Canis lupus familiaris: one gene and its partner. Each later gene encodes a partner of the first gene's protein in a complex. Links are inferred from orthologs where the notes say so. Each region holds a gene or a part of one and is shown in the gene's direction. Other genes may lie near its edges.

Region 1 (4,456 bases):
CAAGGAGAGACTCCCTCCCAACCCCAGCCTCTCCCTGAGGTGCTGGGTTATCTCAGACCCCTCTCCCTCTCCACTCCATGAACTGAGCCTTTCCCAGGACCCAGAGGGCGCCAGGAATGTGGGGCAAGGAGCAGGAAGGCCAGCTGGAGGCCAGGGAGCCAGGACCCCCCCCCCTTGGCCACCCCGCTCTCCTAGACTTGTCTCCTTCCGTCTCCTGGTGCAGTACGCATCCCCCCTACTCCCTGCCCTGGCTGTGCCTTGGGGTCTCAGTTTCTCTTCTGCAAAGTGGGCATATTCACCTCTGCCCCACTTATCTCCTAGGTCCCAGGGGAGTGTGTGTTCCTGAGTGTTACTAGTTGACTAATGTGCACGAATCTGTGCTAGTGGGGGATGAGACTACTGGGGATGAGAACACTGAGAACTGGAACTCGGTTTTTAAGGCTTCCCCTCTCATGTAGATGAGATGTTCCCTGTGTTTTAGGGCAAAGGAAGAGACTGGAAATGGAGACTGTGGGAAGGTGTATGATTTGGTGGTGACCGTGACCGTGAGACCTAGTGAGGCTGTGGGTTCGAGTGTGATCACAACATGATGGTGTGTGATCCTTTGTGCATCTGTGGGGATGCGTAGGATGCTGTGATGGTGGCATCGTGGCATGTGATGTGTGTGTGACTATGTAGGACTCATGAGTGCGGGTGAGGACAGGGTGCAGAGTTGAGTGTCCGTATCCTCATGGCTCTGGATGTGACCCTGTGAGGGTGACAGCGTGACGACGTGACACCGAGAGTGTGTACTTTAGTGACAGTTGGAGAAGGTATGTTGTTGGGATATGACTGTAGACTCTGGTGACCGTGTGAACTGTGAGAGTGGTAATGGGTATGGTTGTGTGACCTTGTGTGTCACAGGTGATGGCACCAAAGGATTACATGTTTGTGAGGGACCACATATGGGTGCGTGTCTGTCATCGACGGTCATTCTTCTAGCCTCTGCTCTATGCCAAAGCTTGCTGAGTGATGCTGGGGACCTAGAGGTGACTGCCAGTGAGGAGACAGAAGGCGTTTGTGACGGGACCTAATGATTGTGTGACTGCGTGTGTGACTGCGTGTGTGACTGCCCAGGATCATCAGCACTGTGGGAAGTGGTGATTGTGTTGTTCTGTGAGTGGAGGAGCCTGCACTCCAGCTGCACGGCTGTCACTGTGGATGCCTGTCAACCTGTAGGGGAGAGACCTTGGTTCTCTGAATGTGACTGTGGATTGCGTGACTGTAAGTGACCATCAGCAAAATATATTTGCAGTGAGGCTCAGTGTGTGCCTCCGTGCTGTGCCTCTCCATGGCTTGGTGAATGGGACTACGTGTGACACTGTGTGTGGCTGCGTGACTCTGGCTGTGTGCCATGGCTGGGTGGGATGGGTGGGATGGGTGGGACAGTGTGAAAGACTGTGGGCCCGGCTCTGTGACTGCTCTTCCACGTGACCTTGAGCGGCAATGATCCTCACGTGCTGCTGGCCCCAGACTCTGGGTCTCAGCCCCAGAGCTCCCCCTCCTGCTCCCTGGCCCCGCCCTCTCCCACCACCCCAGGCTGTCAACTCCTCCAGAGCCCAGGAGAGGCAGTGGAGGCAGCAGCAGAGGCAGCAGCAGCCCGAGTGAGTGATCAAGGGAAGATCTGGGGACAGGTGAGGGCTTCCCCATCCCAGCTCGTTCCCCTGCCCTCATGTCCCACTCAAGTCCCCGGGGTCCCCTCTTTCTCTGTGTCTTAGCTCATGCTTTTGTCTCTTTGTCTCTCCGTGCCCCTCATCGTTCCGTCTGCCCGTCTCTTCATATCTCTGTCTCCGTGTCTCCGATCTCTGTTTAGCCTCTGGATGGCTCGGTTTCTCTACGTTTATCTCTCCTTGGATCATTTTCTGTGTCTCTCACCAGGTCTCTATCCCCTGTTTGTTTCCTAACCCACATTTTTGTCTGTCTTCTGCTTTCTGGTCTCTTGCTGTGTTATCTCATTCTGTTCAGTTTATGTATTTCTGTCTTAACCATTTCTGGGGCTCCCTCTGAGATCTTCCCCGCTTCCCCCTTTCTTCACATGGTGCTGTGGGGGAGTTACTGGGGTTAGACAGATTTTCAGGCATGTGGGCCCCTGCAAACCTAAGCCCAGAGTCTGGCTCCTCTCTAGTCCCTAGGGAGAGGGTTGTTCCATGGACTCTGGGCTTTATCCACAGCGGGCAAGTTTTTTTTTTTTTTTTTTTTTTTTTTAGATTTTATTTATTTATTTGAGAGAGAGAGAAACAGAGACAGAGACAGAGCACAAATAGGGGGAGGGGCAGAGGGAGTGAAGCAGATGCTGCTGAGCTCAGAGCCCGCCCGATATGGCGCTTGATCTCAGGACTCCGGGATCATGAACTGAGCAAAGGCAGACCCTTAACCTATTGAGCTTCCCAGGTGCCCCTACAGCGGTCAAGTTTTATAAGGTCGGGATCCTCCCGATCTGCCATTTGAAAACCCTCTGGGCTTGGAGAGTGGGAACTCCGACGGTTATTTCTAGCTCATGCCAGACAGTTTCTATGCCTTCCTCTCCAAGGCAGCCCCCAGATTCTCCAGAACCTCTAGGTCTAGACTCAGGGTGACATTAGCGCTTCCGCTGGGAGCAGCTCTAGGGCAACCGCGCCCTCAGCAAACACCCCCCTTCCACCGCTGCTGCCCCAGCAACAGTTGGGGGCGGGCCTAGGAATCACGTGCTGGATCTTGGCCTCGCCCACCCTCCCCCACCCCTCGAGTCATCACTTCTGGGGGCCTGGGGAGGGGGCCCCTGCCTCCTAGTCCGCTTATTTGAAGCTCAGAGCGGGTGGCGCTGGGGCTGGAGGCGGAGGTCAGAGGCTCCTGACTCTGCCTCCTGACCCTTCAGGCCGGACTGCCCCTACGCGACCAGGCCCTCGCCCCCCATGCCCTGCCGCCCTCGCAATGTCGATCTGTCCGCCTTGGCGGCTGCTACTGCTGCTCTCGTCGTGGAGGCCGCTGCTCGGGAGGGCGGAGGTGAGGACCCGAGGAGCCGCAGGAGTTCAAGGCTAGAAGGGAGGTCTAGGGACGGTTTTAAGTCTCCCCGCGCTGCAAGAGAGAGTTTTAAGACTGCCTAGATTCAAGTTGTTTCCAGTCTCTCTTCTTTCCCCTTCAAATCCTCCTGATGATTTCCAGCCACTCCTTCCCCTAATTTTGCTGAAAGTTTTCAGCCCTCCACAGCAACTCCGCTGGTCTAGGCACCCCTCCAGACTCAGAAGAGAGTTCTAAGCCACCCAAGACTCCCGGACAAAACAAGGCAACCTCTTCAAATCCCTGTAGCGTGTCTCTAGCCCACTTGAACCCTGCTGCCTGAGAGTGGGGATCGGTCGAGTGTGTGTGGGGTGTCCTCCCTGCTCTCTTTCCATAGACAGACTCTGTCGGTCAGACGGCGGGGGAGCTGTACCAGCGCTGGGAACGGTACCGCAGAGAGTGCCAGGAGACACTGGAAGCCGTGGACCCCCCAGCAGGTGTGACTGGGAGCGGGGACCGGGGGTGCGGGAAGGACTAGGGCCGAGGGGGGTGTGCTTGAGTCGGGCTAGGGCTGACGGTTCAGGGGGGCCTGAAGGAAGTCTGGGGTAGGGGTGGGCTGGGTTGGAGCTGCCTGAGTGATGCTTGGCTTGGGTGGGAAGGACCTAGACCTGAATGCGCGGAGGGACGCAACTCCGACCAGTGGGAGAGGCCTGGGAAGAAGCTTGAAATGGGCGGGGCCTCGGGCGGGGCTGCACGCGGTGGGCGGGGCCGAAGGGCGCGAGTGGGGCGGAGCCTGGGGTCTGGTGAGAGGGGCGGCGGCCGGGCCGGCCCCGGGCCACTCCAGGTGGGCGGGGCTAGGGAGGAGCTTGCTTGTGATCCGCCGAGAAGCCTTGGGTTATGTTCAGTCTGTCCTCCCGACGTCCGGCCTCCACGCCCACCCCAGACCTCGCCTGTAACGCGTCCTTCGATATGTACGTCTGCTGGGACTACGCTGCACCCAACGTCACCGCCCGTGCGTCCTGCCCCTGGTACCTGCCGTGGCACCGTCACGGTGAGGTGCCCCCTGGACCCCAGGCCCTTCCCTGACAAAATTAACTTCTAACCCTGCCCCAGACACCACTGCACCCCTCCCCACCCCCCCACTGCGAGTTCGCCTACACTTGATCTCCTGCTCCTCTCTGGCTGGGTGTCTCCGTCTGCCTGACCAACCCTGGCTCTGCCACTTAGTGCCCCTTCTCTCTCCATCTCTCTGAGGATCACGGAGTTCTTATTTTCTCTGGGCGTCTTGGTCTTTCCATCCTAACTGGCTATTTGGCCTGGAGCAATTTATTTAACTTCTTTATGCCTCAGCTCCTTTTTTTTTTTTAATAAATATTTTATTTATTTATTCATGAGAGGGATCCCTGGGTGGCGCAGCGGTTTGGCGCCTGCCTTTGGCCCA
Region 2 (4,237 bases), on another chromosome or scaffold:
AAGAGGACACTTAAGGCGTCCTACCCCCGTAGGGAACTGGAGATACCCAAATGTTAATCATCGATTAGCACAGTTCAAGTGGAAAGGGCAACTTTATTACGCGTAAAATGGACTTAATGTGGCGGGAGCTGTGGACTTAATTTCTTGAGATAAGACGCTTTTAGGCTAATCAGCAGGTGTGTGATGCCTGGATATAAAGGAGTTACAGCAGACTTTCTTGAGACAGGCTCCAAAGGACCAGAAGGTAGGAGGAAGAAACCCCTGCCCTGTCCTTCTGGAAGAGCTGGAAAGGAAGCCAGGTGAGAGAGCGGCTGGGACAGGGGATGGGTGGAGAGGATACTGGAGAGGCAGTGGGTCTTGGCACCCAGAGATGCTTGGCATCCTTGCATCTCACATTCTAAGAAATAAGAAGGCGGCTCTCAGGATTCCTGTAACACCTAGTGACAAAGGCAGGAGGATGAATGAGGCCTGGTCCCATTTCATCCAGGGGGTCTTCTGTAGGGGTGAAGAGCAGTAAGTAAGGAACCTTCCTCCCAGCTCTGAAGACCAAAGTTAGACCTAGAGCTATTTGGGCCACCAGACCTCATCTTCCTGCAGCAGGACCCCAAGAAGAGCTTCCCTGCACAGAGATAGTGAACCCCAGGGAGGAGAGGATGGAATGGTCCTACCTGTGCCTTTCACTTGGGGTGAGAGAGCTGTGATGGTTTAGGTGACAGCCAATCCCACAGCTGGAAGCAGGGCTGGTATGGACTTTGGGGGGCTGTATGGGGAGTCTCGCCAGGCCACATGCCTTTGACGTCCAGCCACTGGAGCCAGGAAGGAGGCTGTCAGGGGTCTTAGCTGCTCTCTTCTGCCTGGACCTCTACCCCCTGCCCTCCCCAACTCAGACTTCACAACAAAAAGCAGGTCCTCCTCCTGGCCAGGCTCCGTGACCCTTCTAGTATCTGACTCCAACACCCAGCCCCCCCGGCAGCCCCCCAAGTGTTGTTCTAGCCTCTCAGAAAAGCCCTGACCCCCGGAGCTCAGTGCCCCCCGCCGGCAGAAGCCACAGAGGCTCTGAGGCATCAGCAGTACCTGGGCGGCCTGAAGGCTGTGCCTGGACACAGTGCTTCCCTCATCCTCATCCCTTTTCTCTCCTGGCTCAGGAAATCACCCTTGGAAGATGGTGGCCATGAAGATCTTCAGTCTCCTGCTGGCGACCCTGCTCCTGGTGGTGGTGATGGGAGAGAAGGCAGCCGGTCACTCTAGGTAGGGGTGCAGGGGAGGGGTTGGGCACAGGGAAGGAGGCTGGGGAGGATGAGCTGCTTCTGGCGTTCAGGGGGGAGGTGGGAAGGGGAGGAACCCCAAGCCAAGAGGAAAGAAGCGGGAGGGAGAACCCCGCCGGCAGTCTGTGTGTGGAGTAAGGACAGAATCCAGAGGGTTTATTTTGAGCTACTGTTGCCACAGGACAAACTGTGGTTAGATCTCTGGAAGGACTTCTCCGGGGTTAAGTGTCTGAAGTGTACAACAGGGTCTCCCTTCCTGATGAAAGCCTTAGCCATTCATCATTCACGTGTGCAGAATGCCTCAGGGAACACACAGGCTCCCAAGGAAAGCAAAGAGCCACCCAGGCCAGTGGCAGACTCTCAGGGACACTTGGGTGGGGGGCGGTGGGGAGCAGAATGTCATGAGCAAATGGGGGAGGGGGCTCTGTTTGTTCTCTGGAGGACCAAGAGATACTTGTCTGGGTAAACAGCTGGGCCTTGTCAGATGCAAGGACTAGTCCTATGCCCTCTAAATCCAGTCATGTAGATGTGAGGCATGGCTGTCAGGTACAAGTCAACATCACATAGAATTTGCAAACTTGGGATCCCTGGGTGGCGCAGCGGTTTGGCGCCTGCCTTTGGCCCAGGGCCCGATCCTGGAGACCCGGGATCGAATCCCACATCGGGCTCCCGGAGCATGGAGCCTGCTTCTCCCTCTGCCTGTGTCTCTGCCTCTCTCTCTCTCTCTCTCTCTGTGACTATCATAAATAAAAAAAAATAAAAAATAAAAAAAAAAAAAAAAGAATTTGCAAACTTAGGGGCGCCTGGATGGCTCAGTCGGTTAAGCATCTGCCTTAGGCTCAGGTCATGATCCCAGGGTCCTGGGATCCAGTCCCACATCATCGGCTCCGTGTTCTGCAGGGAGCCTGCTTCTCTCTCCTGCTCCTCCCCTGCTTGTGCTCACTCCCCTTCTCTTAAAATCTTTATTTTTTTTAATTTTTTTTAAATTTTTTAAAGATTTTATTTATTTATTCATGAGACACACACACACACACACACACACACAGAGAGGCAGAGAACAGAGGGAGAAGCAGGCTCCATGCAGGGAGCCTGATGTGGGACTTGATCCCAGGACTCCAGGATCACACCCTGGGCCAAGGGCAGGTACTAAACCACTGAGCCACCCAGGGATTCCCCTCTTTATTTTTTTTTAAAAGATTTTATTTATTCATAAGAGACACAGAGGCAGAGACACAGGCAGAGGGAGAAGTATGGAACCTGCTTCTTTTATATATATATATATATATATATATATTGCAAACTTAGATCTGGGCCCAGACCCCCACCTTCATGGAGTGCTAGATTAATCTCTCTGTACCTTGGTTTCCTCATTCACAAAAAGGGCATAGAAATAGTGTTGACCTCATAGGGGTGTTTCGAAGATCAAATGAGTCTATGCAGTAAAGGGCTGAGAGAGGACCTGGCATACAGTGAGTGCCCTTATGGAAGAGCTCCTATTGTTCATACTGACTGGGAATAAAGACTTGAATCGGGGTGAGCCAAGGCAGGAGGAGTAAAGGAGGAAAGTGAGATCCTTTGGGATGAAGGGAACCCATCCTTTGGGATGAAGGGAACCCCTGATCCCTGTTTGTCCAGAACCCAGAGTCACACAAACTGAGGATGCAGAAAGTGGGCTCTTGAGCTGAGGATAAAGCCCGAGGGGCTTGATGCATAGACAAGGGGCTGCCTCCATAAAACTGACTCCCAAGGGGCACCTGGGTGGCTCGGCAGTTGAGCATCTGTCTTTGGCTCAGGTTGTGATCCTGGGGCTCTGGGATCAGAGTCTGGTATCAGGTTGCCCACAGGGAGTCTGCTTCTCCCTCTGTCTATGTCTCTGCCTCTCTCTGTGTGTCTCTCATGAATAAATAAAAATCTTAAAAAAAAAAAACAAACCCATAAGACAGGCAGCCCGAGTGGCTCAGTGGTTTAGTGCCACCTTCGGCCCAGGGCGTGGTCCTGGAGACCTGGGATCGAGTCCCACATCCGGCTCCCTGCATGGAGCCTGCTTCTCCCTCTGCTTATGTCTCTGCCTCTCTCTCTCTGTGTGTGTGTGTCTCTCATGAATAAATAAGTAAAATCTTTAAAAACAAAACAAAACCCATAAAACAAAAAATCCCACAAAAATCTGACTCCCAAGAAATGGGGGTGGTGGGAGGTGGCTGTTTTCAAACACCTGCCTCTGGTCAATAACAATCACCTGCCCCCGCATTGTGGTTCCCTTCGTGTAGAGCCTGGTTTCTCCCTCTCTCTCCTCCCTGCTCCTCAGATTCCACACTAAGGTCAGTGGCTCCCGACCTCGAGGCCCCAGGTACGCCGAGGGGACTTTCATCAGTGACTACAGTATCGCCATGGACAAGATCCGCCAACAAGACTTTGTGAACTGGCTGCTGGCCCAGAAGGGGAAGAAGAATGAGTGAGTTAATGCCCACACTCCCTCCTCTGCACCGGCTGGCCATACCTTCCTTCGTTTAGACTAGACGCCAAGCGGGCCTGTGATTCTGGGTGGTAACTTTGGCTTAGGTACTGATGGGGAGCTGGGCAACACCATGGTCCTGACTGGGGCTCGGGCACTGGCCCAGTCTGGGGTGGGACTAAGCTTTCCAATCCTTTTCTTCTTCCAACCCTTTCTTTCTAATCCTTCCTCTAAGGAGAGGGATCATTGAAGATGTAGGGGCTCCCAGAGGATCTCCACGGGGCTGGGGTTGTAGGCAGAGAGAGCTGAGCTGCTGACAGTGACCATTTGGTGGTGGCCACTTTGGACTTTGCCCTTCTTCCTCTCTTTTGCCAAGTCTCTTACCTTGTCCTTGCTGTTCGTCAGCATGGTAGATGCTGGAAAGCTGTTCTTTGGCAGCTGGGGACAAGCGGGGGGTGGGGGTGGTTGAACAGAGAAAGAGGTACACTATGCAACTTGGGTAAAGGCCCCAAAAGACTGG

Evidence for each region.
Region 2: the proteins of GIPR (region 1) and GIP are in contact, whole or in part, in a cryo-EM structure (PDB 7RA3), measured with the Homo sapiens proteins. The link is inferred for Canis lupus familiaris from reciprocal best matches to the Homo sapiens genes GIPR and GIP. Residues at the interface, in NP_000155.1 of Homo sapiens: Gln30, Thr31, Ala32, Leu35, Tyr36, Trp39, Tyr68, Trp71, Leu88, Trp90, Arg101, Arg113, His115, Asn120, Gln130, Arg131, Leu134, Glu135, Leu137, Gln138, Tyr141, Tyr145, Arg183, Ile187, Arg190, Asp191, Pro197, Gly198, Pro199, Tyr200; in NP_004114.1 of Homo sapiens: Tyr52, Ala53, Glu54, Gly55, Thr56, Phe57, Ile58, Ser59, Asp60, Tyr61, Ser62, Ile63, Ala64, Met65, Asp66, Lys67, Ile68, His69, Gln70, Gln71, Phe73, Val74, Trp76, Leu77, Leu78, Lys81.

What each region holds. Positions count from the first base shown.
Region 1 is NC_049222.1:110,618,796-110,623,251, reverse strand, and holds the start of GIPR (gastric inhibitory polypeptide receptor), read left to right. Parts: upstream 1-1,597; 5' UTR 1,598-1,673; intron 1,674-2,893; 5' UTR 2,894-2,949; coding exon 2,950-3,021; intron 3,022-3,412; coding exon 3,413-3,512; intron 3,513-3,958; coding exon 3,959-4,066; intron 4,067-4,456. UniProt on the Homo sapiens protein: This is a receptor for GIP. The activity of this receptor is mediated by G proteins which activate adenylyl cyclase.
Region 2 is NC_049230.1:25,120,518-25,124,754, reverse strand, and holds the start of GIP (gastric inhibitory polypeptide), read left to right. Parts: upstream 1-1,157; 5' UTR 1,158-1,162; coding exon 1,163-1,248; intron 1,249-3,570; coding exon 3,571-3,717; intron 3,718-4,237. UniProt on the Homo sapiens protein: Potent stimulator of insulin secretion and relatively poor inhibitor of gastric acid secretion.